4 linked regions of the Schizosaccharomyces pombe genome follow. The protein of the gene in region 4 purifies or fractionates together with the protein of the main gene of each other region. This does not show direct contact. Each region holds a gene or a part of one and is shown on either strand. Other genes may lie near its edges.

Evidence for each region.
Region 1: the proteins of sdj1 (region 4) and pyr1 purify together in Schizosaccharomyces pombe (affinity purification with mass spectrometry, with the first as the bait; one large-scale study listed by BioGRID). This does not show direct contact.
Region 2: the proteins of sdj1 (region 4) and fib1 purify together in Schizosaccharomyces pombe (affinity purification with mass spectrometry, with the first as the bait; one large-scale study listed by BioGRID). This does not show direct contact.
Region 3: the proteins of sdj1 (region 4) and sup35 purify together in Schizosaccharomyces pombe (affinity purification with mass spectrometry, with the first as the bait; one large-scale study listed by BioGRID). This does not show direct contact.

The regions. Positions count from the first base shown.
Region 1 is NC_003423.3:2,188,272-2,197,706, reverse strand, and holds pyr1 (pyruvate carboxylase Pyr1), read left to right. Parts: upstream 1-3,169; 5' UTR 3,170-3,275; coding exon 3,276-6,833; 3' UTR 6,834-7,062; downstream 7,063-9,435. Other genes in the region: protein cup1, read left to right, coding at 170-1,123; SPOM_SPBC17G9.12C (hydrolase), read left to right, coding at 1,683-2,507; rpl1102 (60S ribosomal protein uL5), read right to left, coding at 7,458-7,982; translation initiation factor eIF2 gamma subunit tif213, read right to left, coding at 8,655-9,435. UniProt on the Schizosaccharomyces pombe protein: Pyruvate carboxylase catalyzes a 2-step reaction, involving the ATP-dependent carboxylation of the covalently attached biotin in the first step and the transfer of the carboxyl group to pyruvate in the second.
Region 2 is NC_003423.3:2,979,694-2,986,466, forward strand, and holds fib1 (fibrillarin, rRNA and histone methyltransferase), read right to left. Parts: upstream 4,018-6,773; 5' UTR 3,989-4,017; coding exon 3,071-3,988; 3' UTR 2,711-3,070; downstream 1-2,710. Other genes in the region: yml6 (mitochondrial 54S ribosomal protein uL4m), read right to left, coding at 1-753; snr1 (mitochondrial 37S ribosomal protein mS47 ), read left to right, coding at 1,369-2,658; nucleosome assembly protein Nap2, read right to left, coding at 5,016-6,155. UniProt on the Schizosaccharomyces pombe protein: S-adenosyl-L-methionine-dependent methyltransferase that has the ability to methylate both RNAs and proteins. Involved in pre-rRNA processing by catalyzing the site-specific 2'-hydroxyl methylation of ribose moieties in pre-ribosomal RNA.
Region 3 is NC_003421.2:1,530,085-1,538,511, forward strand, and holds sup35 (eRF3-like class 2 translation release factor sup35), read left to right. Parts: upstream 1-5,314; 5' UTR 5,315-5,368; coding exon 5,369-5,498; exon of another isoform or gene 5,499-5,532; intron 5,533-5,581; coding exon 5,582-7,440; 3' UTR 7,441-7,927; downstream 7,928-8,427. Other genes in the region: Cu metalloregulatory transcription factor Cuf2, read left to right, coding at 2,042-2,073, 2,124-2,216, 2,261-2,669; SPOM_SPCC584.03C (GTPase regulator), read right to left, coding at 2,938-4,593; SNARE-binding protein Sec1, read left to right, coding at 8,123-8,150, 8,189-8,229. UniProt on the Schizosaccharomyces pombe protein: GTPase component of the eRF1-eRF3-GTP ternary complex, a ternary complex that mediates translation termination in response to the termination codons.
Region 4 is NC_003424.3:5,020,176-5,026,731, reverse strand, and holds sdj1 (glyoxylase III Sdj1), read left to right. Parts: upstream 1-2,880; 5' UTR 2,881-2,979; coding exon 2,980-3,458; exon of another isoform or gene 3,459-3,556; coding exon 3,557-3,653; 3' UTR 3,654-3,654; downstream 3,655-6,556. Other genes in the region: superoxide dismutase Cu chaperone Ccs1, read right to left, coding at 696-1,453, 1,609-1,735, 1,788-1,796; SPOM_SPAC22E12.02 (splicing factor, WW domain -binding Rbm42), read right to left, coding at 3,655-4,006, 4,241-4,548; phosphoenolpyruvate transmembrane transporter Pet3, read right to left, coding at 6,065-6,556. UniProt on the Schizosaccharomyces pombe protein: Catalyzes the conversion of methylglyoxal (MG) to D-lactate in a single glutathione (GSH)-independent step. May play a role in detoxifying endogenously produced glyoxals. Involved in protection against reactive oxygen species (ROS).

The sequences.
Region 1 (9,435 bases), on a different chromosome or scaffold from region 4:
TGCTTATTTAGCAACAATCTCTAAGATTTTATCAAATACTTCATTTCTTTGTCCCTTCATCTTGGCCCTTGGTTTTAATTTTTATATTTGGTTTTTCTTTTTTTTTTTTTTTTTTTTTTGCATTGTTTCACTTAACTTTCATGTTTCATTCATACAAAATTCCTTACTCATGAGATTTATTTCTACAGTTACCAAAAGGAGACCATTCCAAGCTCCAAATGATCTTGTTCATCCACTTTCGAACATTTTAGGTAGCCTGGTAACTTATGACTCTCGTTTACACTTACCTCAACCAAAGGACAGGCAGTGCTCGACTCTAGTCCCTCTTTATCGAAGACTATTAAAGGCAACTCGAAGATTCTGGGATCCAATGGCATCCCAAATCCTAATCTCACATTTTCAAGCTTACGCCCGAAAAGCTCGCAAGTCAAATCCTAATCCTCACAAGCGGCGCATAAAACGGTTTCGCAATCTCCTAAAAACTTTTGCATGTCGTATTGAGCGCGCCAATGATGGCGACCATCAAGCTATATGGCAGACTTTACGATACGCTTATTCACAAACAGGTCCTCTTCGTCATAGGCGTCTTCATTATTTACAAGATAATAAAATTCGACCTTCAAAGATACCCAAAAGTTTACCATCTAATTCACCAGTTCGTCTTCCTTACATTTCATCCCTATTATCGGCCGTTTTTGAGATAAATATGGAAAATGCAAAAATCCGCCATTTGCCCAGCGTCATATTTGACGGTTTAATAGAGAAAAACAAAGATCGCCCTTACCATATTAACCTTAGTTGCAAGAGGGCATACGACGAACTTTTGCCTCGTATTGCTGTCCCACTCTTACCACATGAATATCATCACTTGCATTCACTTCTCTTAGATGTCACACTTCGAAATCCACAAATTTCGCGACCACCGTTTGCACCACTGAACCCCAGAAAGGGGTTCTGTCGTATCTTACAGAGATCGCTCATAACCTTTTTGAGTGCCGTTTGCTATTTGCCTTATAATCCTCACCCTACCTCCAAACCTGTTGTATCGTGGGACTCTTTGTCAGACATTCAGCTCAGGCTAAACGTCGGAAAGGTTCTTAAAAAGTCAGTCAAAAAAAGGTAGCAAATCGTGTGCTTTAAAAAGTCAGACCAAAGTTTGTAATGTATAATCTTCATTTATTTTGAAGAGTCCTAATTCGTCATCATTTTCATCTGCTTGTTATGAATCATTTATTTTTTTTTTCATAAATATTTAATTTCTTTTGCTTTACGGTCCGGATGCATGCTAATAAATCATCGTAACTCAAGTAGTCTATGTGATTTCTTAATTTTCTACATCACTTTAGTATACCAATGAATTTACTATCAATTTTTATCATACTCTATGAATTAATTCAATACAAGACTTCTTTTTTCCTTTCAGTGCTCAAATCATTCGCCGGTTTAATTTTTGGATTTCGTCCACACACATGCATGCTCAAGTCTTCTGCCTAACCATACTACTTCTTCTAGCCTTCAGACTTAAAAGCTTCGCCTTTAGAAAACATCTCTATTCCTTCAAAATTGGTGAAAGAGATTAGCATTCCTAATCATTTCCATTCATTAATATAGCTTCTTTTGGTTTTTTCTACGTGAACATCTATTTTCAAACACCTATCGTTTTCTCATATAAAAATTGGCAAATGCTGTACATAGTGGATTTTGACGAGACAATTACCACCTACGATACAATCCACCTCCTAGCTGAAGCTGTTAATAAGCCCGAAGAATGGAGCGTAATATCTGATAAATACTGGCAAGAGTATTTGGCTTGGCGTGAAGCATTACCGCATTCTACCACGCTAACATCTTATTTACCTCTACTAGGAGGAAGTCGATATCTCGAAGAAGCTAGTATAAAAAGAATTGAAAAATCTCAATATTTTTCCGGATTATCGGAGGGTGCCCTTGACAACATCGTACAACTGATCACCCTGCGCGCAGGATTTGTAGAGTTCATCAATGCTTTGGTGCCCGATCTCCGTGTAAGCAAAACCATTTTCCACGTTCTTTCCGTCAATTGGTCTGCAAGAGTAATCGAACAAACCCTGCTTCACCATACGGACTTAACCGCAGACTTGTTGTGTGTCCATGCCAACGACTTTGACTTCGATACGTCTACAAACACAACAAACGGTAGGATACTTGCGAGAAATGCAAGTTCACTTCTAATGAATTCTACGGACAAAGTACGAGAGTTTCGGCGAATAGTGCAAACAGACGCAGTTTCGTCTCCACTTAATGTTGTCTATATCGGTGATTCCCCTACTGATTTCGGTTGCCTCCAGATATCCCCCATAAGCATTTTGATGCGTTCAAATCAAAAGTACTATGATATCTTGTCCAGATTCGAGGATGTGCAACTTGTTGATATATCTGAATTCCCCGTTCAAAAAGCTGTGCCAGGTAAAAAAATCATTTACACTTGTAGCGACTGGTGCGCTATCCAAAAGGCATTTCTCGCATAAAGCTTTTCTTATCGTCAAGAGAACACAGCGGAGAGATGATCAAAAGCTTCAAAATTTAAGTTGTTGATATTTTTGTCGTCAACAAAAAAGCACCGCGAGATCAAGGCGATCAAATCTTCTCAATAAAGGTCATTGGAGAAGCTTTATGGAAATATGAATAAGGAGAACGTTCACAATTCCTCTGTTTTCCATCTCTCTTGGCTTCTATGTAAAGCCGGTACAACCCTTATTTTCTTTACTTATTTTCCATCTCACTTTCTTCTTTCAAATCTACTGTTTACTGTCGCTTGTTAGTGCTCCTTGCATGTCCGTTAAGCCGGTTCAAGCTCGACCGAATAAGCGGACTTACCGAGACAAGCGAAGCTCTCAACTAATCATACAAGTACATATTCTAATCATGATGATCTGTATTCGGTTAGGTCATTTTCTTCCAATCAAATTTTTGATTTTTTTTACCGACAGTTGAATTGCGATTACGCTTATCTTTACTAACTACGATTGGCCTATATTTCGGCTATCAGCTAAGGAGACCAGCTAGGGTTCCGTTATGCCTCGTTATATTGTGTGATTGGTGTGAACGCAGAGGCTGCCGTTTTCATCAAACCCTCTATCTTCGAAGCAATAGTCTTGCGTAATTTTGCATATCGAGTCATCTCTCCTTTAACCAGCAACTACATCTAGCGTTAGCTACTCTGCAAAAAAACGTTCGTATTTAGCAAAGAGGGTGCAATTTGCTAGTCTCAGTATTGGGGCGATATAAAATTAAAGATGACTTCTAAATATGATGCGTTGTTGCACAATCAAAGTACCAACACAAACCCTTTCAGCAAGTTGCAGGATCGTTCCTCCTTGTTAGGAGAGAAGTTTACCAAGGTGTTGGTAGCTAATCGATCTGAAATTGCTATTCGTGTCTTCCGAACTGCTCATGAACTTTCGATGCACACTGTCGCCATTTACTCGTATGAAGACAGACTGTCGATGCATCGTCAAAAGGCCGACGAATCCTATCCAATTGGCAAGGTCGGTCAGTACAGTCCAGTAGGAGCTTATCTGGCTATTGACGAAATCGTCAGCATCGCCAAACGCACCGGTGCCAACTTGGTTCATCCAGGATACGGTTTCCTTTCCGAAAACGCCGAATTTGCCAGAAAGGTAAACGAAGCTGGCATGCAATTTGTAGGCCCCTCCCCCGAAGTCATTGACTCTCTTGGTGACAAAACGAAAGCTCGTGCAATCGCCATTCGCTGTGGTGTCCCAGTCGTTCCTGGTACTCCAGGTCCCGTCGAACACTATGAAGAAGCTGAGGCTTTTGTTAAGGAATATGGCCTCCCCGTTATCATCAAGGCTGCCATGGGTGGTGGTGGCCGTGGTATGCGTGTCGTTCGTTCTGCCGATACCTTGAAGGAGTCATTTGAGCGTGCTCGTTCTGAGGCCCTTGCTTCATTTGGTGATGGCACTGTGTTCATTGAACGCTTTTTGGATAAACCCAAGCATATTGAGATTCAACTTATGGCTGATAAGGCTGGAAATGTCATTCATTTACATGAGCGTGATTGTTCCGTACAACGTCGTCATCAAAAGGTCGTGGAGATTGCTCCGGCCAAAGATTTGGATCCTAAGATCCGTCAAGCACTTTATGACGATGCCATCAAGATTGCCAAGGAAGTGAAGTATTGCAACGCCGGTACTGCAGAATTCTTGCTCGATCAAAAAGGACGTCACTATTTTATTGAGATTAATCCTCGTATTCAGGTTGAACATACGATTACTGAGGAAATTACCGGTGTCGATATTGTATCGGCTCAGTTGCACGTTGCTGCTGGTTTTACCCTTCCAGAAATTGGTTTGACCCAAGATAAAATTAGCACTCGCGGCTTTGCTATTCAATGCCGTGTTACCACTGAGGATCCTAACAATGGCTTTGCTCCCGACATTGGTAAGATTGAAGTTTATCGTTCCGCTGGTGGAAATGGTGTCCGTTTGGATGGTGCTAACGGTTTCGCGGGTTCTGTCATTACTCCTCATTATGACTCTATGCTCGTCAAGTGTACATGCCATGATGCTACATATGAATATACCCGTCGTAAGATGATTCGTTCATTAATCGAGTTCCGTGTCCGTGGTGTCAAAACCAACATTCCTTTTGTTTTGCGTTTATTGATGCACGATACTTTTATCCAAGGAAACTGTTGGACAACTTTTATTGATGACACTCCTGAATTGTTTCAACTTTATCGTTCCCGTAATCGCGCTCAAAAACTTCTGGCCTACCTCGGTGATCTTGCTGTCAACGGCAGCTCTATTAAGGGCCAAAATGGTGAGCCAGCTCTTAAGTCGGAGATTGTCATGCCCGTTTTGTTAGACAGTACAGGAAATCAAATTGATGTTTCTCATCCATCTGAAAAAGGTTGGCGTAAATTATTGTTAGACAACGGTCCTGCTGCCTTTGCCAAGGCTGTGAGAAATCACAAGCGTGGTCTTATCATGGACACCACTTGGCGCGATGCCCATCAATCCTTATTGGCTACCCGTGTTCGTACCATTGATCTGGTAAATATTGCTCCATATACGAGCCATGCCCTTGCTTCCGCTTATTCTTTGGAGATGTGGGGAGGTGCCACCTTTGACGTCTCTATGCGATTCCTTCATGAATGTCCATGGGATCGTTTGCGTAGACTCCGTAAGTTGGTTCCTAACATTCCTTTCCAAATGCTTTTACGTGGTGCCAATGGTTTATGCTATTCAAGTTTGCCGGATAACGTTATTTACTTTTTCTGTGAACAAGCCAAAAAGAACGGTATCGATATCTTCCGTGTTTTCGATGCCTTGAACGATGTTAATAACCTTTCTCTTGGAATTGATGCTGCCAAGCGCGCCGGCGGTGTTGTTGAGGCCACTATGTGTTACTCTGGCGATATGTTAAATCCCAAGAAGAAGTATAACCTTGATTACTATGTTAACCTTGTTGATAAAATGGTTGAAATGGGTATTCACATTTTAGGTATCAAGGATATGGCTGGCGTTATGAAACCTAAAGCTGCTCGTCTTCTTATTTCTGCCATTCGGGAGAAACATCCAGAGTTACCTATTCATGTTCACACCCACGATTCTGCCGGTACTGCTGTTGCTTCCATGGCTGCGGCTTTGGAGGCAGGAGCTGACGTTGTTGATGTTGCAACTGATAGCATGTCTGGTCTTACATCCCAACCTAGCTTTGGCGCCGTTTTGGCCTCTGTCGATGGTACTGATAAGCAATTGGAGTTTGATAACAATCAATTACGCGAAATTGATAGTTATTGGGCTCAAATGCGTTTGCTTTACTCTCCGTTTGAATCTGAAATCAAGGGTACTGACTCAGATGTGTATAACCACGAAATTCCCGGTGGTCAATTAACCAACCTTAAATTCCAAGCTACCTCCCTTGGATTGGGCACTCAATGGGCTGAAACTAAGAAAGCGTACATTGAAGCCAATAAATTGCTTGGAGATATTATTAAGGTCACTCCCACTTCAAAGGTGGTTGGTGATTTAGCCCAATTTATGGTTCAAAATAAACTTAGTGCTGAGGATGTTGAGAATCGTGCGACCACTTTGGACTTCCCTGCTTCAGTACTCGATTTCTTCCAAGGCTTAATGGGTCAACCATATGGCGGTTTTCCAGAGCCTTTGCGTACTAATGTACTTAAAGGTCGTCGTCAACCTTTGACTGATCGTCCAGGTAAATTCCTTCCTGCTGCTGATTTCGATGCTATCCGCAAATTATTGTCAGAGAAGTTTGGTGTTTCTTCAGATTGTGATATCGCTGCCTACACCCAATTTCCTGGTGTCTTTGAGGAATATCGTCAATTTGTCGATCGCTATGGTGATTTGACCACTGTTCCTACTAAATTCTTCTTATCTAGACCTGAAATGAACGAAGAAATGCACGTTGAAATTGATCAAGGTAAGACTTTAATCGTTAAATTTGTCGCTCTTGGACCATTGAACCCTCGTACTGGACAACGTGAAGTTTATTTCGAGTTGAACGGTGAGAACCGCCATGTTACTGTTGAAGATAAGAAAGCAGCTATAGAAACTGTTACCAGACCTCGTGCTGATCCTGGTAATCCTGGACACGTTGCAGCCCCCATGAGTGGAACAATTGTCGAAATTCGTGTTAAGGAAGGTGCGAAGGTTAAGAAGGGAGATATTATTGCTGTTTTAAGTGCTATGAAGATGGAAATTGTTATTAGTGCTCCTCACAGTGGTGTGCTCAAGTCTTTGGCCGTTGTTCAGGGTGATTCTGTGAATGGTGGTGATTTGTGTGCTGTTCTTGAACACGAGTAAATTTACGATTCCAGTTTGTTGGATTCTGCTTCAGGTTCATTTCATCCGTGGGTGATGTGTGCTTAGATGCGTTTAAAAGAAGCGGCTTGGAGAAATGTTTTAAAGTTTTATTTTGTTAGGTCGCTGAGTAATTTGTTCCATTTGAACTATTTAAGGTTTATTAAACGATTGCAGGAAAAAATATTGGCGTTTGCCTTAATTATAAATGAATAGGTATTTTGTTTAAGGTAATATTCTGGCACTTAGCTGGAAGGTTGTGTATATTGATTAATTCGTATGACTGTAGCATAAACGAACTTTTTATAGATCGATTTTTAAATTACCCTTTTTTTGACAACTAAACTACTAAATTTTAGTACGTAGTTTCACTGAACCAGCGAACTAACGTTTCATGCTTGAAGTGCATTACGATCTCAGAAGAAACGCATATGTTCTAATCTTCCAGGTTATCAATTTTCTATTATCAGTGTCAATGTCAATTGCGTTGTAAACTACTAGCTATACAACTGCTCATACAAGTTTTTTCAGTTTGGAAATTACAAGGCGCTATTGGAATTCACTAAAGTATACAAGATGAGGAATTAATTTTCAATTGAATGTAAGCACAGTAGTACCAAATGAAGTTTACTTTCCTAAAACGACGGCATCATACTTTTGCTTGAACCAGTTGATGGTGTCCTCAGCATTGATTTTGTGAGTGTAACCAACACGGCCACGTTGGGCCTTACGACGAGCTACACGCATACCAGGGCGGTCCATGACAACGTAGAAATCCATACCATAAATACCAATGGAAGGATCGTACTTGATGCCCAAGTCAATGTGCTCCTGGATACCAAAACCAAAGTTACCGGTGGCAGAAAAGTTACGCTTTTTCAACTCGTATTCCTTGACCTTAAGGCCACGCTCTAAAATCTCCTCGGCCTTGGGACCACGAACAGTAACATGGCAAGCAATCTTCTCATTACGGCGGATACCAAAACGACGAATGGTATAACGAGCCTTAGAAAAAACGGGGGTTTGACCCGAAAGTTGCTCCAAAACCTTGGCAGCACGGGTGAGACGATCACCAGATTCTCCCAAAGAAATGTTCAAGACAAGCTTGGAGATACGAAGCTCCTTCATGGGGTTTTGAGCCTTCTCTGCCATGGTGTTTGATGTAGGTAGCTCGTTTTGCGTCTCCTAGTGTTGTTTGCATTCGAAATTAACAGTCACTTGTTTAGGTTAGGGCTCTGAATAATGTCGTTGCCTTAGAGTTTGCTAATTGGGAAAAGATCAAAATCGCTTATTTGATAGAATTTTTGTATTCAAAGAATTGAATCGTTCACTTTCTTTAAATTTTCATATTTTTTTTTGTAGGCTTCCAAAAGTCTGGGAAGTGAAAGCATATTTTACAGATACATACTATGAATGAAATACCACAAAACGAAAGAGTCAAGTAAATAAGCATAATTGATTAGAATCAAATAATAGTAAATATAGATTTATGACTCTTCTATTTACTTATTGCTTTACTATAAGGAACTAGTACCATCAGGTGTACTAAATAGGTATAAATTCGCTGTAGAGTAAATGTTGAAAATAGTCTAACTAATTAATAATGGAAACATTAAATACTGCACAGAGATCCGAATGTATAAAATAGGGATGTAGATACGCATCTATTAGCACTGTGTATCAACTACATGATTCATCAACTGTACTAAAATCACACACCGTGTACGAGACATCGTTAAGTTTAACCGTAGACATTACCATTGTTTATTTTTTAAAAGTTAAAAAATGAGAATTCATCTTATACAATGTTTACAACGATAAAATCTAAACTTTTAGAGTCTTACCCTCAACCACCTTAGCCCAACCGATAAGCCGCCAGTGTTTTTCAATACGTCTGCTGAGAGCCACCTTTTCACCAATTTCGGTACATGCTGGGGCGGTAAGAAGGATCTTTGCCATATCTGCTTTAACCATCATAACACGGCCACCAGTGGAAGTGGAACCGATGTTGACCATCAACACTTCGTTTTTGGCAAGTTTTTGAACTTTAGTGGTGTTTTTATCACCACTCTTTACACCCAAAAGACGACGGAGCAAAAAGTAGTTAATTTCGAGCTCGGTATAAACTTCTGGAAGGTTGCCCTTGGAACCCAAAACTTGACCAACTAGACGATCGGCACGGCAAAGAGTAGGATCGACTGTTGTACCAACACCAATCAAACCACCAGGCACGGCTATTTTCAAATCGTTGTGTTCAGCGAATAGGGAGATAATACGGGAGAAAATAGGTTGGCATCTGATGCGGCCATCATCATCCTTTGTAACAATACCAGGACGAATTTCGATTTCATCATTTAAACGAAGAACGCCAGTCAAAATAGAACCACCAGCAACACCACCCTTAAGGTCATCAACTTCAGCACCAGGCTTGTTAACATCAAAAGAACGAATTACAATTAAACGGGGAGCAGTGGTAAAGTCACGGACAGGAATGGGAATTTTCTTAACAATATATTCGAGAATGGCATCGATGTTATATTTAAGTTGGGCAGAAATAGGGACTATAGGAGAGTTCTCAGCAACGGTACCCTTAATAAACTTCAAA
Region 2 (6,773 bases), on a different chromosome or scaffold from region 4:
CGTAAAAGAACTACTATTTGCATCAACATAAGCAGTCAGGGAAGCAGGTTGATCCATATCACTTAGTGTATTTCGTTGAGCAAACTTCTCTACAATTAACGACATGGCTTCAGAATCAATAAATAGTTTACCGAATTTTAGTGCATCTCGAACCTGAAACTCACCAACAGGAATAAAGGAGCAATGGTAGCCTAACTGTCTAGATGCAAGCAATAAATTATTATTTTTAAGGGACTCATCTTCAAAGTAATTATCGTTAAGGACAAAAAGTGCCTTCCCGTACTCGTGTCCTAACTTGTGTTGCTTCAAAACTTCAAGCAAAATCCGTGTTTTTGGTTGACTTAAGTTGATGGGATTTTCAAGGATGGTCAGTTCATTATTAATAAATCTTGTACTTAGCGCAATCCTCATTGCTAAATTATAAACTTGGGTTTGTAATTTTGTACTGAAATCTCTAGGCTTAGGACCATGTGATTTAGCACCACCTCTTCTTATAGGACTTGAGGCATCGCCTACCCGTGCATGTCCTGTACCTTTTTGTCGATAAAGTTTTCGACCGGAACAAGTAATTTCATTTCGGCGCTTTGAGCTAGCAGTGCCTTGACGGTCATTATCTGCTTCATAAATAACGGCACGATGCAAAATATCTCGACGAAATCTTTCTTGCAGGAAACTTCCGGGAATAAGAAAAAGACTCGCGGGCTCCAACGACGGAAATTTATATCGCACCAAGTGCAACATTTTTGCTGTCATTCTGATTAGTTTGTGAAATGGACGACTAGTACCTGAAGAATGGATGTATTTTACTTTCAATTAGTCTAACACAATGTACTAAGTATCACAATGCATTTCATTATAACATATTGTGCATTCAAAAGTATCGTAAAGCGTAAAGTATCGAGTTCATTAAATTACGTTGTTTTATGCAACAGGAACTTTATGACTGTATACTGTTAGATAAATTAATGATATCTCATTCATTACCTAAAATAGAAGAAATAATTATTTATACTATGTGATGTCGTACATTAAATATTTGGAATTTGCTCATTCTGACACCTTAAATTGTTGTTGCAAATAGCACCTGTGTATTACAATAACAGTTTTGAGTACTCAATGCTATGCAACAAGTGGTTTAAGACTTTTAAAATCGACAAACCCTGAGAAACTAAATTAATACTAAATATAGATTTTTTGAGACAAGTATTTGCCCAGCTAATGCATGGAAACCTACTTTGTTTTACGAATGGTCTTTTGTGATTTGTTATTAGTTCACAATTAAGAACACACTTCGTTATAAAGTAACGTAGAAGAGACGTTAACCGTCTATGCAAAAATAATCGGTGTTATTTAACTTGGTTAGCTTTCATGGGATTGAAATTAAATATCTCTAACGATTTGAAAAAATCTGGATTTATGTTAAGGCAATCCTTACTTAAAACAAGTGTGTCAAATTTCCTTTCTTTGAATGCAAGTAGCACCATGTCTAGAGCGTTTATTCGAAATCCAAAATTTTATAGCACTTCCTCAAATGATACAGTTTTATACGAGAGTAAAAATGGAGCAAGGATATTTACTTTAAACAGGCCAAAAGTATTGAACGCTATCAACGTTGACATGATAGATTCAATCCTACCAAAGCTAGTTTCATTAGAAGAATCAAATCTGGCCAAGGTAATTATTCTTAAAGGAAATGGTCGCTCTTTTAGTTCGGGAGGTGACATTAAAGCTGCAGCACTTTCAATACAAGATGGAAAATTACCTGAAGTTCGCCATGCATTTGCTCAAGAGTATCGATTAAGCCATACGTTAGCTACATACCAGAAACCAGTTGTGGCTTTGATGAATGGCATCACCATGGGAGGTGGATCTGGTTTGGCTATGCATGTTCCTTTCCGTATTGCGTGTGAAGATACGATGTTTGCTATGCCAGAAACCGGAATTGGCTATTTTACTGACGTGGCTGCCAGTTTCTTCTTCAGTAGACTACCAGGATACTTTGGAACTTATCTGGGATTGACATCTCAAATCGTAAAAGGATATGATTGCCTGCGTACTGGAATTGCAACTCATTTCGTTCCGAAGCATATGTTTCCTCATTTGGAGGACAGGCTTGCAGAGTTAAACACGTCTGATATTTCTAAAATCAATAATACAATCCTGGAATTTGCCGAATTTGCTAGCAGTTCACCACCCACTTTTACTCCAGACGTTATGGATGTCATTAATAAATGCTTCTGCAAAAATGATACCGTTGATATTATTCGTGCGTTAAAAGAATATGCTTCAAACACTAGTGCTTTAGCGGAATTTGCAAAATCTACCGTTAAAACATTGTATAGCAAATCTCCGACTTCAATTGCTGTTACCAATCGACTTATTAAGTCTGCTGCTAAGTGGAGTATATCTGAAGCATTTTACTATGATCATATCGTTTCCTATTATATGCTTAAACAGCCTGATTTTGTTGAAGGTGTTAATGCTCAACTTATTACAAAGACCAAAAATCCAAAATGGAGCAAATCCCATGAATATCACTTTAAAGATTTAGAAAACTATTTCAAGTTGCCTTCAGAATACAATAATGGGATATCTTTTGCTGCAAAAGGAAGACGTAAAACTCCCCTTTGGAATTATAAGACTTATCCTTATTTATAATCCCAAAGGTTACATAAATTAAATATTGTTCTTTATGTCTACTAAGTTTTTTCAGTATTATAATAAGATGATTTATTTCAAAGACCCTGTTATGTTTTAGCATGCGATAAAGCACATAACTCTTTTTAGCAGCTAAAAATAATGATAGCCATTTTAAATACTCATACTAAAACTCTTTTTCGGTAGCTGTGCGTACGATAGTTCAAAAAAAAGAATGCTAACGGCATTAATATATATTCCATAATTCCCATATTGGATCAAACAATGAGAAAATAATTGACAAAACTGCCAAACGCATACCCAAAATATATTTTTATTATTCCAATTGCTCACGGCCTTACCATAAGCTTTTCTAGCAAAAAAAATTATATGATAAACTAAAAAAGCATGCACTTATGGCATATATTTCTGTTTACTGATGTCTCAAGTATTTTCCTACGATGATACAGTGATCACGTTCGTAAGGCTCTAAAGTAAGTTGTTCTTGAGGTTTAATCTTTTCCTCTTGCATTTTCTTAACCTCACGAGCAAAAACAACAGCTGCATCAGCGGTAGAATCAATACAAGAAGCCTTAACAGAGATAACAACTCCACCTTCGTTTTTCAAAAAGGCGGCGGCGTTCAAAGCAACGATACGAGCCTGATCGGGTTGAGCAACGTCTGCAAAAACAACGTCAACCATTCCGACTAACATACGATACTTTTGAACATGGCGAGCATCCTCAACAATGGGGATGACATTCGTGCGCTTTTTAGCCATGTTAAGAAGATCACGTCCAGAACGATGAGAAAACTCAACAGCGTAGACAAGACCCTCAGGACCAACAACATCAGCAACGTGAGAAACGGATGTACCGTTAGCAGCACCAAGATATAAAACACGTGCACCAGGTTTAATATAGATGTTGTCTAAACCGCCCAAAATACCTGCGGCAAGTTTAGAACGGAAAGGATTCCATACACGGTATTCAACTTTGGTACCATCTGGGGAATCAACGCTAATACGTTTTTCATTGTATACTGATTCACCAGGCACCAGATTGCGGGTGACAAGCAAATCTTCTTTTCCGCGAGCAATGAAGACACCTGCATGACGATGAGGCTCAATAATAACTTTAGCACCTCCTTTGGCTCCACCACGGCCACCGCTAGAACCACCGCGGCCTCCTCTGGCACCTCCACGACCGCCACGACCGCCACGAGCACCACCGCGTCCTCCTCCTCTGGCACCTCCACGGCCACCGCCGAAACCACCACGGCCACCATTGAAACCACCACGGCCTCCTCTAGAGCCACCTCGTCCACCTCTTGAACCTGGTGTATATGCCATTATTTTTTTTTGTGGTAGGTAATGGGTCTGTAAAATTTTTAGGATAGCAGAGAGGATTACAGTTGGTGTGACTACGAACACAATTCTGCAACGCTAAAAATTTTTACGAGTTCGAAACAATCTGTAAAACCTCTAGTTAACGAAGGTAAACAACGCTAAAGCTAACTTAATGACATTAGTAGCATCGCAGTGTTATTATTTGCAGCTCATAACTTCTCATTAGTAAGGTAAACATATGTAGCAAAAGATGGGTTCCTGCTGTTTGAAAAGCAATTGTTTTAGGTCTCAGCAACAAATTAGAGGTATTCAATATAATTCTTTTGAAAGATTGGTGAAGAGAATGAATAGACATCTCTACTTGTGTTCATATAATAATTACGTTTTGACAATCGAAGTAACTAAACTTAGAGTTACAAGAGGTAGTGATTTATTGTCAGAACCGTTATTAGTTGTAGTTCTTCCAACCTAGTACTAGTTCTTATACCTTATCATATAAACTCGGTGTGAGCTAACAATGCACTTAAAGATTGTTAATTAATGTACGAACAGATCTAGCTTTGACGTATAAAATAAATAGAAAAAGCTATTGCAGATAGTTATAGTAATAGCCGCTTACTTTTTGCTGGCTGTCCGCATTATCATTTTAGAAAAGCAAATGCTAATAAATAACACCACAGCTTCAAATAATGCGCGTACTAACCTAATACTAGCTATTAAAAAAGGAACCATGTAAGTAGAATATACTCACAGAATGATAAAAAATTACTTAGTATATTTTTTATACCTGCATTGGAAAAAAAAATTCAAAATTTAAAAAGACAAGAAAACAAATTGAAATTTTAAAGACAAATCCTAACTTAGATCCGCTTATTAAATATTTTATAGGATACTACGACGTAAATCAACATTTTAATTTTTTAAGCCACAATAAACTTACCAAACTATAAGCGAAATTATCATTCAGCGTCAATTTCTCATTTTTGCTCACATTGAACTTACTCATAATCTAACGAACACAATATAAATATCAATCACTAATTTCGCTACTCAAAATTTCTTCGTCATCTGAAGACAGATCCTCCTCATCAGTATATGCGTCTTCAGAGTCTTCTTCATCCATTTGGTTAAAATCGCTCAAGTCACCTTCTTCTAAGAAACAGTCAATTGCCAAGGGTATGATTTGATCTTTAAAGACTTCTCCCAATTGATAGTCGAGTTCTAAAAGCTCTGTTTTGTCATCCAAACCATCATCAGATTCATCATCGTCCAACTGAGGAGGTGAGAAAAAGTTGAAAAAACTGTCATTAGGGACCGTAGTACGGACCAATCTAGTTTGATTTGTTTTACGGTTACGTTGTTTTTTTGTCTCCACTCTAACCGTTAAATTTTTTTCAGGCTTGATCCAATTAATCTTATCACCCTCAGCATGATCATACAAAAACTCACCCGAAGGACTTAAATCATCTTTATAGTAATAAGTTTTCGTTAAAATCTTGTTTGTAAAGTAATCATTTGAGTCAAATTCGAATTCTAGTTTGTAACCATGAACATCTCCCGAAAGGTTGGTAAAACGAATGTCGCTGAGTGATCGCAAGACATTTTCATCTTCTGGTGTTATCATTTCGCCAACCAAGAAAACATTATGAAGACAAGTCAGCCAAAATTCGGGAATTCCCTTAGGATCTGGAAGATTATTTTGAAATATTTCTTCCTCGTGATCTAATTCGTCGTCCACTGGTTCAGAAACACCCTTGATAATTTCGGCTCTTCTAGAGAAAATAGGTTGATATTTTTTCTCGTATTTTGTTTCCAGATCTAACATTTTTTGACGAAATTCATATTGAATTGCATCACAATCTTTTTGAAGGCCTTTCAATGCTGTAATACGATTTTGGACTGCTGGCGCAAGGCTCTCTATATATCCCGACGACTTTCCAACCAACGAGCTAAGGCGTCCCTCAATCATTGATAACATGGCCGGATTGTTGCGCAATAACCCGCTAACTTCATCATGTGCTGATTTGTCCTCCAGTTGTGATTGCAAGGTTTGTCTAGCTTTTTCTAATGCGGCCTTACTAAGATGTACATCTGAAGATGGAGTATTTTGTGGCGTTTGAGCAGCAAACCCATTCCAAGACTTCTTAAAATCTCCTGGACCTTTAGACATATTTTAATAATGCAAACGGAGATTAAATTAAATTGGTAAAGCTTCGTTGTTGGACTGTGGATCTTCGTGAAGTCTACCAAAGAGATGTTGGGCCTGACTCGTTATTGCAGCTTAGCATATTTTAATGATATGTTTACAGCATTTTTCGTATGAGAGTCTTTAATGAAATATATTTATGTGTTTAGCGGCTATCATAGTTTGGGATAGTATTTGGGGTTTTATTTGGAAGAATATGTAAAATTAGAAAGCATCCGGAAGTTTACATATACGTTGACTTTTTTCTCTCCGCTTTCCTTATACTTTCTCTGACAAAGGTAATGGATTGTATAAACCAAAGGCGCTGCTTTCAAATTCTGATGTAGCTGTCCAAATAGCTAAAAAAAAAATCAATGAAATAAACAAATGTATATATCTCGTTTAAGCAAAGTGTCTACGCTATTCATATTAGTTTAACATATGTATCGTATCCCAATTATTAGTTGAAAATTCTATAAAAAATATATATATATGGATACTGATTAATAAACAACTCTACGTATCATATACTTCTATATTCATGAGTTAAACAACCTTATTGTAGCATTTGTTTACTAGTTAGTTGCCCACGGAGGAGCGAAA
Region 3 (8,427 bases), on a different chromosome or scaffold from region 4:
AGCTCGTTATTCTTATTAAGGATAATGGAGGTGCTTTTTCTTACTGTAATTAAAGAATTGTTTGATGTCAGCAATACTACACTACGCTATAATACACTACGTTGCGTATCACTATATGTCACATGTTCTAATTATATATAGTACCATGTATGATACGATATTGAGATTGATCTTAATGATAATCTATCAAGATCTATATTATCTGAATAATATAAATAGAGCTACTGCTGAACCTCGTTCCTCAGTTCAGTTATAAGCTATATTAGTGATAGGTAACATTATAACTCAGTTAATACAATACCTATACTCAGTTGCTACTTATACAACCTGTGTATTGTAATATAATAGATCACAAGGAAAACTCACCGCAGTTCTACGTATCCTTAAATCAGATACCAAACTGCGTAGCTTACATTTGAAGGGATTTAACAACATAATGGAATGTAGTTGACAGATGTGACGTTGTATATCTTTGAACAGGTATACAGAGATTTACGGATACCCAGACGATAAATAACGACCGTTGGGGTTAGCAGTTTTATTCTCATCAAATTAAGAAAATGTGTGTGCAAGGTAGTTATTGTTTTTATAAGGTTTTCTAAATTTCAATACTTTTAGTAGTCTCATCTTGTAGCAATCTGATCAGAAAGACATTATCATCTTTCGCATTCTGAAAAACATGAAATAGAATGTCAAGTGAATTTGAGTAAAGAACCGCACGTATTGATGTGTTCGATTTCAGCAACGTACTTGATTTTAGAAGCTCCATTATATGATTTTAGTTTAGCTAGTTAGTTTTATCTCCAGAAAATTGACAGGTATTCAATATTTACTGATTTATTCATAGTGCGCTAAATGCATCTAAGTACTGTGCTGTAATTATGTTCATTATACCCAGTATATCAGCATCTAGCAGCAAATATACATTTATGTAAATACATTTACATTTCAAATAGTAGCATCTCCAAATCGTCACAAATTGTAGAATTTACATATCTTTTTTTAAAATACTGAACGTTCCTTAATTTGATGAAATCACTTCGTCTACATTTCTATTATGTGACAATATTTGTAGGTAGCAAATATTCAAATTGATTAAAAGATTTTTTGAAATCGAAAAAAATTGTGAGTTTAATCATACCTTTCTGAAAGAAATATTTCAATTTTTTTTAAAAAAATTTGAAGGGTCTGACAAGCCTACCTCATTTTACATTTACTTTCATTTAATTATTTTTTTAAACCTGACATTAAAACAAAGTAACTCGATATAACCCTGAAAAATAATAATCAATTAAAATAAATGAGCAATCAATAAAAAAGTTATTATGTCTTTAGGTTGCAAACTTTTAAGCTGTTTTGTAATCTGAAAATCATATATGTTATAATATAAAGTAGTATATTAACAAAATCCAGTCTTTATAGCATCTGGTACCTTTTGCAAACAAAAGTTATTTAACAAGTTTAGAGTGCAGAAAATCGCAAAACTGCTTAGAGAATTGACGCAATCATAAAAACATAGAATGAAATCGCCTCGAGGAAAAATCACAATTTGATCAGTTTGCACACTCATTAAATCAAAATTATCTTTTCTACGAAATTGTGCTCAAAAACATTGAACATAGTGATTTAATACCTTCCTATTTTGTATGTTATTGTTGGTTAGTGTCAATAAGTTGATGTATTTGTTTATCCCATAATATGTAAACAAATGTCCATAGCTAGAGCTTATAAATAATTTATGCCAGCACTCAAACTTTTGACAAACAACAAACATTGGAAATATTTAAAAGTAAAGTATATTATTTTAAAACACTTAGCTGTTCGTCTTGTCTTCTATTAATATCCGTTGTGCAATTCTTCTGGATCAGAAAGCTAAAGCAGAGACGAGGAAAAAGGAATTTGGGAAAAAGCTGTCATTTACAATTTATCAACCTAAAGGAAGAGAACGTATAAGAGGAATTTATTTAAAACGTTCCTCGACTAGCTTATTTACTCGAATCCTACTTGTCTTCTTTTCCCTTAATCACAAATACCTTCAATCATGATCATTATTGACGGTAAGAATTATGCTTGGTAAGACTTTTTGTATGGTTATAAGATAAAATTTTTAACACTTACTCTAGTGTTGTATGCCTTCGAGGTCATCGAGGCTCATCCTGCCAGCATCAAGAAAGGGCACTGATAGAAGTTCGAACTAGAGGAAGGCCGTTACTATGGTATGTCACATTGATCAGAAAAAAAATATTAACTTGAAATTCAGCAAAAAATGCAGAGCCATAAAACAACAACTTAAGAGTAATTTAAAATGCGTTTGTCATTTGCAGCCTTTTCTACCCTTCGCCAATGAGTATCAGGAGTTATTAAATTTCACTCAGAAAAACCCAATATTGGCTAGCCTTTTTTTGTTTTCAACCGACAAAGATATTATGAATTCTTCTTTAAATCCTGCAAGTCAAGCCTACACCTTCGATTTAGGAAGAACACTACCCATCAGTGAAGATATATTAGGATATAGGAAACCTCTTTCACTAACAGATGCTTCTAATCGCATTGATGCAAGTCAATTGAATGAAAAAGAAAACGATTCTTTTACCATAAACCAAGAGGCCGATATTTTCAATTTCGCAAAGTACTTACATTCCAAAGACGATATATCCGGAATCCCTTGAATTCACAACTTTCGTTATTATTCCAAATAGCGACAAATGAAGGTTATTGTCATATCATATGTATAAGTACTCTCACATAAAGTATTCAATCATAAAAAGATGAAGTAATTTGAATGTTTTGGTCGTCTAAAAAGGTGCATATAACATTAGAGAAATCTATGTATTCAAATTTACTGGGGATCAAACACCATTTCAAGGATTTCCCATGGGAAGTGAAATTTAGAATAGTTGTGTATTGAATAGCGTCAATATTACTCTGATAAAGTTTTCACGGGTTTTTCTTTTCTTTTTCCACATTTAATTTAGCCTGGCAGTTGATAACTTTCGACGATGATTCAGGCTCGGAATGAGGAATAACAGAAGGGTTTTCTTTTAATTTAATCACAGAATCCTTTGAAATGAGGTCCTCCTGAGGAAGTAAATTGGACTTCCGGACAGAAGGGCTAGCCATCAATAAAGCTGAATCCTCTTCATCAACATTTTTCGTTTGACGTGTTGAAACTTCAGGGGTAACAAGAGGTATGTTTTTAATATTCCATGGTGACAGAAACGTTGGTGTCGCAAAAATTCCAGAATGTCTGGAGGAGGATACTGAACCTGGACTGGCGCTTAGTTCACTTCGATTTTCTAAGGCATTATATGAAGCCGGATCTCGGGGCCTCTCTCTTCCTTGATAATCTTTAAGATACAATGCAATTTGTTCGTCAGGTAATTGTAAAACTGATTCTTGGGTAGTACTTTCGAGCGCGCATAATCTAATCAAATACTCCAGTAAAGTTAAATTAGGTTGATCTTTTATAGTCGATGGAAAGGAAGACTTTTTCTTTGCAACGGATTCTTGTTTTTTGATGCCTAAAAGCTGTAGCCTAGCAGCTTCAGAATCACTAAGAGATTCTGCAAGTTCATCAGATTCGTCTAATGATTCATTAGGTATTGATACCAAAGGAAGTGCTTCTAAAGCTATCCAGTTCGAAGGTGCTGTATTTGAAGAATACTCTGTTTCATCATCTGCATACTTGAGTAATAATACGGGAGTTTGTACATCATCTAACCGAAGAAGTTTACCGGACAAACTAAAAAAAAGCGTGCGCACATCATTTAGTGAAATGGTTTTGGTGACAGGAGTCTCATCTTCATCATGGTAACGATCATCATCAAAAGATTGTTTTAAAGATAAAGCATAGGCTAGAACCGTATCCTTGGACTTCAACCGTTGAGGAGGCATGCGAAACATTTTGGCGATACAAACAGGCATCTCTTCTTTCCACATGACTAAATCATTGCTTATATAACCAGACTTGGCGTGGTTATCTATAATTTTATAAGTTCGCAGGAAAAATGTGGGGCCAACTTGTAAAGGTTCATTTCCAGTAAATGCAACATTCGCCCTATATATGTATGAATTAGCTCGTAGAAGTTGGGAAAATGAAGTAGATTTTGGAAGAGAAGATGAAATAGAAGCACCAGAAGTAGTGATGGACAGATTTAAGAGAGGAACTGCATCATTAATTTTGAGAAGTAAAGTTTTCATTTCACGAAGAATAGACGTATCAACGTTCTTCTGCAAAGTTTCTTTTTCTGAGGAAGGCGGAAATTCCGAATGAGCGGCGCTTAAAACATGCTTGGTGAATTGTTCGATGTCAGCGTGCAAAGAATCCACTAATTGCTTAGTACTCTTAAAATTTTCATTTTCACCGACTGACATTATTTCAATTAGTTCGATAGCAGGCGTCACAACTCGAATCATTTCAAGCAGTTGAGTTTTCACAGACTCCAATTCACTTTGATCATCTGCAGAGGCACGTTTAATATAGCTGCTAACTTGCTGAACAGCTAATTTTCCTGCAAATGATATACTATGTTTCAACGCGAAGTTCGTAGCAAATGTCGCAGCATGAGAAGCTACATTAAGTAATTCATCCATTTCTAAAAAGGCGGCTTTAAAAAACACAAGAGAAAACAAGGCTAAACAAATAAATAATGGTCATTCAAATTGTATTTATTCCTTTTAACAACAAATTAATAACGAAATAAAAAGAAGCGTAGTAAATTGAGAACCAAATAGAACTTGCGCTAAGTCATAGTGATATGTGGAGGATAGAAGTTTAATATCCAAACACGCCTATAGAATTTTGTATAAGGAAATCCTAAAGTGAATAATTATATAATGGATTTACATATTGAATCTTTTGGAACTTGCTTGGTATATATTTTGAAGCTGTAACGCTGATTCATCGTTTCTTCCATGACAAAATCCTTGCAGTGATTATTGGTGACAATGGAGACTAATTAACCAATAGATTTAAAAACTTTTGATTAATTGTTCAACCCAATAGCTAATAAATGTTGTGTTTGGTATTAAGCCCACCGAAGTTTCTGTTTTTTATCTCCCAAGGCAAGTCAATATATTTTACCTGTTTAAGACAATAATAGCGTATTACTGAAGAAAAAAGCGAGAAAATGACCAATTTACAATTCAGTTGCTTCCGATTTTACAACCAAATGTAAAATTAAACTCAAATATAATATTTTATGAACTTAACTGAATTACTATAGCACAAGCTTATATAAAGGATGCTAATAATATCATCGTAAGTACTCGTAATATTATATTATAAAAGAATACACAGTGTATACTGTGGTGTAAATTCTCTTCAACATCACCGTCCCTTTACCACATATTTTAATAAAGGCAAAAAATGGCTAGTAATCAGCCAAATAACGGTGAACAGGATGAGCAACTCGCCAAGCAGACTTCTAAACTGTCGATGTCTGCAAAGGCACCTACGTTTACGCCTAAAGCTGCTCCCTTCATTCCTTCTTTCCAACGTACGTTTTTTAATTAGAACACCATCCATATGTCTTGAGATGATTGCTTGTTTTAAGTAAAAAAATTATTAACTTCTTGCTAGGCCCCGGATTTGTACCTGTGAACAATATTGCTGGTGGTTATCCTTATGCCCAATATACAGGCCAAGGACAAAACAGCAACTCGCCACATCCTACGAAGAGTTATCAGCAATACTACCAAAAGCCAACAGGAAACACTGTTGATGAAGATAAAAGCCGTGTCCCTGATTTTTCTAAAAAGAAGAGTTTTGTGCCTCCTAAACCAGCAATTCCCAAAGGAAAGGTTTTGTCCCTGGGTGGAAACACCTCTGCTCCTAAGTCTACAAAGCCCATTAGCATCAGCCTTGGTGGAACAAAAGCTCCTACAACTACCAAACCAGCAGCACCTGCTGCACAAAGCAAAACAGAGACCCCTGCACCCAAGGTTACCTCTGAGTCAACAAAGAAGGAGACCGCTGCTCCTCCTCCCCAGGAAACTCCTACAAAATCTGCTGATGCTGAACTAGCAAAAACACCCTCTGCTCCAGCAGCGGCTCTTAAGAAAGCTGCTGAGGCAGCTGAACCCGCCACTGTCACTGAGGATGCCACCGATTTACAAAATGAGGTTGATCAAGAGCTTTTGAAGGATATGTATGGAAAGGAACATGTCAATATTGTTTTTATAGGTCATGTTGATGCAGGAAAGTCTACCCTGGGTGGTAATATTCTTTTCTTGACTGGTATGGTTGACAAGCGTACTATGGAGAAAATAGAGAGAGAAGCTAAAGAAGCTGGTAAAGAAAGTTGGTATCTTTCTTGGGCTTTGGACAGCACTTCTGAAGAACGTGAAAAAGGTAAAACCGTTGAAGTTGGTCGTGCTTACTTTGAAACCGAACACCGTCGCTTTAGCTTGTTGGATGCTCCGGGTCATAAAGGTTACGTTACAAACATGATTAATGGTGCTTCTCAAGCTGATATTGGTGTTTTAGTCATTTCAGCGCGTCGTGGTGAGTTTGAAGCTGGTTTTGAGCGCGGTGGTCAAACTCGTGAACATGCCGTATTGGCTCGTACACAAGGCATCAATCATCTAGTTGTCGTTATTAATAAAATGGACGAACCTAGCGTTCAGTGGTCGGAGGAGCGTTATAAGGAATGTGTCGATAAGCTCAGCATGTTTTTGCGTCGTGTCGCTGGATACAACTCAAAGACTGATGTTAAATATATGCCCGTTTCTGCTTACACTGGTCAAAACGTTAAGGATCGTGTTGACAGTTCGGTTTGCCCGTGGTATCAAGGTCCATCTTTGCTAGAATACTTGGATTCTATGACTCATTTGGAACGCAAAGTGAATGCTCCATTCATCATGCCTATTGCCTCCAAGTATAAAGATTTGGGTACCATCTTAGAAGGAAAGATTGAGGCTGGTTCGATTAAGAAAAATTCAAACGTATTGGTTATGCCAATTAATCAAACCCTTGAAGTTACAGCCATATATGATGAAGCTGATGAAGAAATCTCTTCTTCTATTTGCGGTGACCAAGTTCGTCTCCGTGTCCGTGGTGACGATTCGGATGTCCAAACTGGTTATGTTTTAACATCCACTAAAAACCCAGTTCATGCTACTACTCGTTTCATTGCACAAATTGCGATCCTTGAGTTGCCTTCAATTTTGACAACTGGTTATTCTTGTGTAATGCACATTCATACCGCTGTCGAGGAAGTTTCATTTGCCAAGTTGCTCCATAAACTTGACAAAACAAACCGCAAAAGCAAGAAACCCCCCATGTTTGCTACCAAGGGTATGAAAATTATTGCAGAGTTGGAAACACAAACTCCGGTTTGTATGGAAAGGTTTGAGGACTATCAGTATATGGGCCGTTTCACTTTGCGTGATCAGGGTACTACGGTTGCAGTTGGCAAAGTCGTAAAAATTTTGGATTAGGGTAATTTCGGCAATTTTCTCGTGCTCGGGATTTGTTTCTATGCAAATGTATGACACTTTATGGTTCTACTGTATATAATCCAACTAGGACAAAATGGGATTTGCTTATTTTTTAGTTGGTGGACTAGCGGTATGGTAGAAGATGTATATCTAATCGTTATATACGCGTATTACTATGCCTAATTTCAATGCGATGGGTTGTATATATGAAGAATAATGGACATTCACTCCTTTACACCCTATTCACTTTGAAATTATTTACTTTTTTCGTACAGAATTCAATGCGAGGAGTAGGTCAGCAAATAGTAAATAAGCAGTTGCACTTTGCAGCTATGGAAGGGTGAAATGTGATAATAAGTTGTTGTTTTTTTACAATCCATATTAATGATTAAAACTACACTTGAAATCTTCATAATATTGTAAAATAATAGTTTATTTAAATCACTAGATATACTGAAATTTATTGTGCTACTACACCAAATCTTACCGAATAAATACCGAGGTGGATCATATTTACAGTAATCCGATCATTCTACCGTTTACATTCCACCAGCATTTCTGTACCGTATCCGAATTTCACGTACTCTTTTGACGTTGCTTGGTTTTAAGAGTAAGCATTGAAGTGTTGAAAGGTATAGTTTTTGCTATTCCGTTTAGGAATACGGGACATTGACGTTTTGAGATGACACTGCTGGAGCTCCAAAAAGAATGTATGGTTATTTGTGCTGGTGTATTACTAACAAATAAGTGTTTCTTAGCAAAATTAATTCAGTAGAATGTGCTACGAAGGTAAGAGATGGAACCCGTGAAACTTATAACGTGCACTGAAATGTTTACTGGGAATTTTGATTTGGATATTGTTTAAATGGAATTGAATTTGTGAATATGCAGCATATTATTTCCTCCGACATATTTTTTTTAAACTATCAAAATTGGCCTATTTCTAATTTGGAGCCGTTCAGTTTCACATCTTTGGCTTTTGGTTTG
Region 4 (6,556 bases):
CAGTTGATTATATTAATCGGATACTCCTCAGTCGTTCTCTTACAAACATTTGTTTTTTATGTTTTTATATCGCCCACTCTTACTTTTAAACATGTAAGGAATAATTTTTCCAGCCCTATGTTCTTTTTACGCGATAAAACTACTTTTTTCTTTGAACCCAGTAACCTGCAATTTCATCGATAATGATGCTAATTTCGATGCTTTGTAATCCATCGGTTCTCTGGGTGTACAGCTATCTTTCATGCATATTCAAGATGTTAGATATCTGTATCAGGCTAAAAGAAATTGGCGATTATTTCTGTTAACATGTATGTGGATTGTCATGCGGTGATGATTAAAAAAAAATCTTTCTTATTGGAGTTGGGTCTTTGATGAAGTTGATTAACGAACAAGTTACAGAATACTCGGCTTATTCTTGTATCCAGAAGCGCTGGAAGTGGGCTAATTTGAAAGACATGTATCTCTTTCGAAAAGCTTACTCGCTTCTTCACGAACAGTTGTATATGGATAATAATTAGCATGCAGGTACAAAAATAAATTCATTGAAGCAACAAAATGACATGAAATTCTTTACAGCTAAGGAGTTTTAATAAACTGCAAACCAAAATTTAAAAGGTGTTTGTCAAATTTGACAGCATGGCTACTGTAGTAAACATTTACGTACATGATAAAGTTAGTAATTGTATGGTATCGTCTTAAGCACAGACAGTCGATTTTCCGTTAGAACAGCACGAGGGTTTTTCTGATGTGCAACAGCTTTTCTTTTCTTGAGAGCAGCAGGAGGTTTTTTCTGTTGAACAGCAACCTTTTTTTTCTTGAGAACAGCACGAAGGTTTTTTCGATGAACAACAGCTTTTCTTTTCTTGAGAGCAGCAAGAAGGTTTTTCTGATGGACTAGAATCCTTCTTGGAACAGCATGAAGAACCCTCGTTGACGGATTTCAACTCGGCATGCTCTGTCCATAAACTTTTGCCTGTACAAGCACAAATTTGCTTGGTATTTTGACCCAAACCAGCGCTACGGGAAATAATTCCCATAGTGGCGGAATCAGAATCGTCGACACATTTAAGAACGAAACAGTGACCAATCCAATTTGGTAAGGATCCAGAAACCTCTTTGTCGAGAACAATTTTTCCTTGCTCATTGGAGTTTGCATTAAAAAGGGTAACAAGGCTATCGCCAGCGGATTTGAGTCCACGGGAAATGTCTCCTGAGATAGTGACTAATCCTGTATACTCTCTATTTGGTAGGAGTTGAGTAGCAATCAAATCGAGGAAAATTTTCTCCTCGGTGGGAATAAAACGGCAAAGTCCGTAAACTTTGGGAATCTGGGTTATATCTTCATTGGCTTCATAAAGAATGGAAACGCCCGATTCTTTGTTACTAGCACCACGAATGAGAATGGGCTTCGAAGTGGCATTTTCCAAGCGCCGAAGGACTTTTGAAGGAGAGACTGAAAATCTACGTTAGCTAAGAGTAAAATGAGAAAAATAGGAAGTAAAAGAGGAAGTCAAACAATTTACTTTCAATTTTATGAACTAATGTAAAGCAGGATGAACTCACAAATCTCTCTTTTCTTCCTCATTTCTTATTGGTTTTATCACTTACCAGAACCCTTCACAATTAATTGACCAGTTGCAGCATCCCATTTCCAATCTTCAATGTTTAAATCTTGGAATTCCTGCTCGAGGGTATTCTTATTTACGTCGTCACAATCCTTAATGAGATATTCAACCTAAAAATTTTATTAGCACTCTTTGAACCAAATTTTCAAACAAATGCCATACTTCAAACATGTTGAAAACAAAAAGAAGCCGAAAGCAAAATAAGCCTTTAATATGATATTATTGATGTTGGCAAATGGCAACTTCTACGGAACTGCGTAAGGTGGTGAGATTTACTTTAGAATGGAAGGCAAACTCAGTATGAAGATTAGTCAGAAGGAAAGTTAATGGTATATTGAATTGAAAAATGCAAAATATGAACGTCAATTTTTAAAGAATATCATTGATTTTATTAGAAATGACAATGAATGTTGGATTTTTCTATTTATTATTATTTATTTTTTTAAATTTTTTTGGAAGATTTGTTTTTTATTCCAAGCGAGTTAAATGGCTTTTCTTTCTGTTGGTTTATAAATGAACATAGAGATTGTATTATTATTTATTTTTCATTAATTTTTTAAAGACCATTTAGCTGTAATTGTTAGTGTACAACTCCTTCGTTTGATTTAAAAAAATAAAATAAATGCTATGGGCGATAGAGAGATGTAGGAATATCTAAATTCTAAGTATTATTTTTCTTATATTATGGAGAATTTGAACGTTCTGTTTAGTGATTACAGTACTCTCACAATTTTAGTGATTCGTATATATACATGAATTGAGTATTCTCGATTTCTTTTCAAACAAAGAATCGAATTCTGTTGGCAATTTTTTTTTTCATTCATCTATTATTATTTTAGTATTAATTTTTTCACTTCAATCGAGATTATATATTTGCTCCGGTTTGATCTATTTGCCTTTCAAAGACTTAGTATATTACATTACTACCAGTACTGTGAAACATCTTATATAGAATCCATGCAATTGATATTCGTCCATACTAGAATAAAATTTATAGTTATTTAAAATGAATTAATTAAAGTAAACTGTTGCCGAAATTCTTCAACCAATCTTTTTTGTTTATACTCGAAAATCTGCCAACTAGCGAACGTTTCATGGCCATTAGAGAATATGGGGTTTTTAAACTATGGAACTGAATGAAAGGAAATGGGTTCATTCGGAGTCCCAACCGCTTTGTATATCGCCCGTTTTCCAGAATTATGCCTTTCCATGCCTATATATATGGAATCATACGTCAACCTATTACTTTCCAACTACCAAACACTTGTGAAGCGAGAAATTTCTTTGACAACGAGTTTTACTTGGTTTTGTACTAAATTTTTGAACCCTGCTAGTGTCTTAAAAAAATTTGAAAATGGTAAAGGTTTGCCTATTTGTTGCGGACGGCACTGATGAAATTGAGTTTTCGGCACCTTGGGGAATTTTTAAGAGAGCAGAAATTCCCATTGACAGCGTCTACGTTGGAGAGAATAAGGACCGACTTGTGAAGATGTCTCGTGACGTGGAAATGTATGCAAATCGTTCATACAAGGAAATCCCCAGTGCAGATGACTTTGCAAAGCAATACGATATTGCTATCATTCCTGGTGGTGGACTCGGGGCAAAAACACTTTCTACAACTCCTTTTGTTCAACAAGTGGTTAAAGAATTTTACAAGAAGCCTAATAAATGGATTGGAATGATTTGTGCCGGTACCCTTACAGCCAAGACATCAGGTCTTCCAAATAAACAGATTACTGGTCATCCTTCTGTTCGTGGTCAACTAGAGGAAGGTGGCTACAAGTACCTTGACCAACCTGTCGTCCTTGAAGAGAATCTTATCACATCTCAAGGGTAAGTTGCATAAGACAAAACGAAGTCCAACAAGCTGATTCGTTTCTGTTTTTTTTTATTTCTTCATTAACCTATATGCTAACATGTTCTTTCATTAGACCCGGTACTGCAATGCTTTTTGGTTTAAAATTATTGGAGCAGGTTGCAAGCAAGGACAAGTATAATGCTGTCTATAAATCTCTTAGTATGCCCTAGACTACACACGACGAAACGAACTCGCCCTTGAATAGTCTCGAGATGCTTTGGTTTGATTTCTAGAAGCCTCGGACTCGGTAGCACGGGCGGCACTGATTTCTGTATTAACGGCGTTTGGGACTGATGTGGAATTTGCCGGTCTCGCACCTGTTATACTAGATGATGATATTAGCTCCGCAGCTGCCGATTGTGCCGCCCGCGATGATTTTGATGAATTTTTACCATGCTTATTTTTTATTTTCTTTTGAACACGGTTCCCGTGATGAATAGTTCGAGAGTAAAGTGAATTCCGTATTTTAGAATCGATTGTTTTTTCATTTACCTCATTTGGCTTAACATCAGAAGTAGCACGACTAGAAAACATACATGTTAGTAGTGTAAAAAAACTAACCATAGATGTAATAGAAGGAGTGAGTTCAAAGCAAAATTGTCGGTGATTTTGGGAAAAAGAAATTTAAACTAGACATTAGGATTTTCTATGAAACAATTTGGCAGCCTATTGAGCTTTAAATACGTTTTCCATCACCGTTAGCTATTGACACCCTTTCCTTCAAATAATGCACCCTTTCTTTTTTTTTTAAACATACCTAAGTTTAACTGGACGGCTTCCAATATATTTACCATTTTTTTCTCGCCAGGCCTTCAAAAATTGATCAGAATCCTTAAACGATACAAATCCAAAACCCCTTGTTTTACCTTCACGATCTCTAACGACTTTTGTTTTTACGAGAGATGGATATTCACTAAAAGCCTGGTATAAACTCTCGTCGTTAACATCATTTCCTAAATTTCCAACAAATAGACGAAAATGATTTGGATCCCATTCGAGCAAAGTCGGATCTTCCCATACTTGTCCACCAGCCTTTCGTACCACCGTCGTTTTCACACGAGACATGATAAATTTCGAGTAAACTGAAAGATATGTATTTTGGTTGCACGCTTGTGTGGAGTTTTTTGCTAACTGCGTCTTACGGTTTTCGCGAATTGACGCTCAATTGATAAAAATTTAGCAACTATAAATAAGAAAGATAATATAAAAACTGATTGAAAGGGAATTAGCAATTGTACTAAAAAGAGTAGTCGAAAGGTAATAAAATATTTAGAGTATCGAATTCTTTTCGTCCTCCACAAATAACGGGGTTGAAAGAATCGCAATTGAAGTATAAGGAATGTAAGCTACGTAGTTTGGTATCTGATTTAAGGATACGTAGAATTACGGTGAGTTTTCCTTGTGATCTATTATATTACAATACACAGGTTGTATAAGTAGCAACTGAGTATAGGTATTGTATTAACTGGGTTATAATGTTACCTATCACTAATATAGCTCATAACTGAACTGAGGAACGAGGTTCAGCAGTAGCTCTATTTATAGTATTCAGATAATATAGATCTTAATAGATTATCATTAAGATCAATCTCAATTTCGTATCATACATAGTACGATATATAATTAGAACATGTGACATATAGTGATACGCAACGTAGTGTATCATAGCGTAGTGTAGTATTGCTGACAAGGAAACATAACAGTTACAATAACTGTCTTTAAACTATAAAGTGTAGCCTACGTTATAAACGAATATATATGTAAATTTCAATAAAATAATACCAATAGCATTATTAAAATAAATATATTAAATGGATGAAGAAAGAATATTATTGAACAATGAAAAAAACCTGTTTAAACATAGTGCTAAGATCTTTAATCCTATTCACTATACAAAATTCCATCATACAATGCGATAGAAAATTAATTGTCTCAATCAAGATTTTTATCTTTACGCTTTCAGTGAAAATGAAACATAGAAAGAACATAAGGGGCATATGTATGTAGAAAATAAGTAAATCAAGTCTCCTCATAATTATGAGTTGACTATATCAACGATCTCCAGTTGATTCGTGGAATGAGTCAAATAAGAATCGAGGAATAATTACCTTTCCAAGCATGCAATGTGTGTAAGTATAAATTGTGAATTCAAATATACAAAATTAAGTTTGTCTATAATAAAGAATTAAGATTATTTCACCATAACGATTAAACACATTGAGACTAGCTGACCAATGATCAAAAACTCTGTTCTTGGAATTATCGAGAACTTGTTATGTGGATGCATTAAAAGGAAGAAAAATAAGAAGAAATATTAAGAAATAAAAAAACCATGGCCTAGTCGGCCAATGAATAAGGATAGAAGACATTCGTATCACTCAAATTACTAAAAAAAATAAAGAACCAAGTGTTAATAAGAAAGCTATGCAAACCAAAATGAGGAGAGGGAGTTATTTGTGAAAAGTATCATCACGCTGTTGTGTTCTGCTTTAATGCAACACAGGTGAGATAAGAAAGAAGACATGTAACGACAGAACGCGCAATACTAGCAACAAGGAAATTGTTTCAAGAAGAAAGAAATCTAAGCATTTTCATTCAAAACAATATATTCTACTTCTTTCTCGGCTTCTTTTTTGTTTCCCTTTGTAATACGATAATAATTGTAGACACCGATTCCGCAAAGCGTGATTACCAAGCCGACAATGTTGATAGGAAGAAGAATGTCATGGTAAAACAATGTAGAAGCGATGATAGTTATAATTTCTTTTAAAATTCCACAAACGCTTAAAGTCACAATACTCGTCTTTTGAATCAGTCCAAATTCTGAAGCGACCATGAAAAATGCAAGCGTTCCTGGAACAAGAATGACAACAGACATAAAAGGACCGAATTCTTTCCAAGCTGGGGATTCGATAAAACGAACAGGTCCTTCAAAAATTAATCCTGCAACGAGCAAAAACAAAAACATCAACGGCGTAAGAGCAAACAGAGAGGTAAAGGGGTTGGAGGTCCAAGGATGATCAAGCAAAAGCTTTTGGGTTAAAGCCCAACGCAAACCTGAAAGTACCGAAGA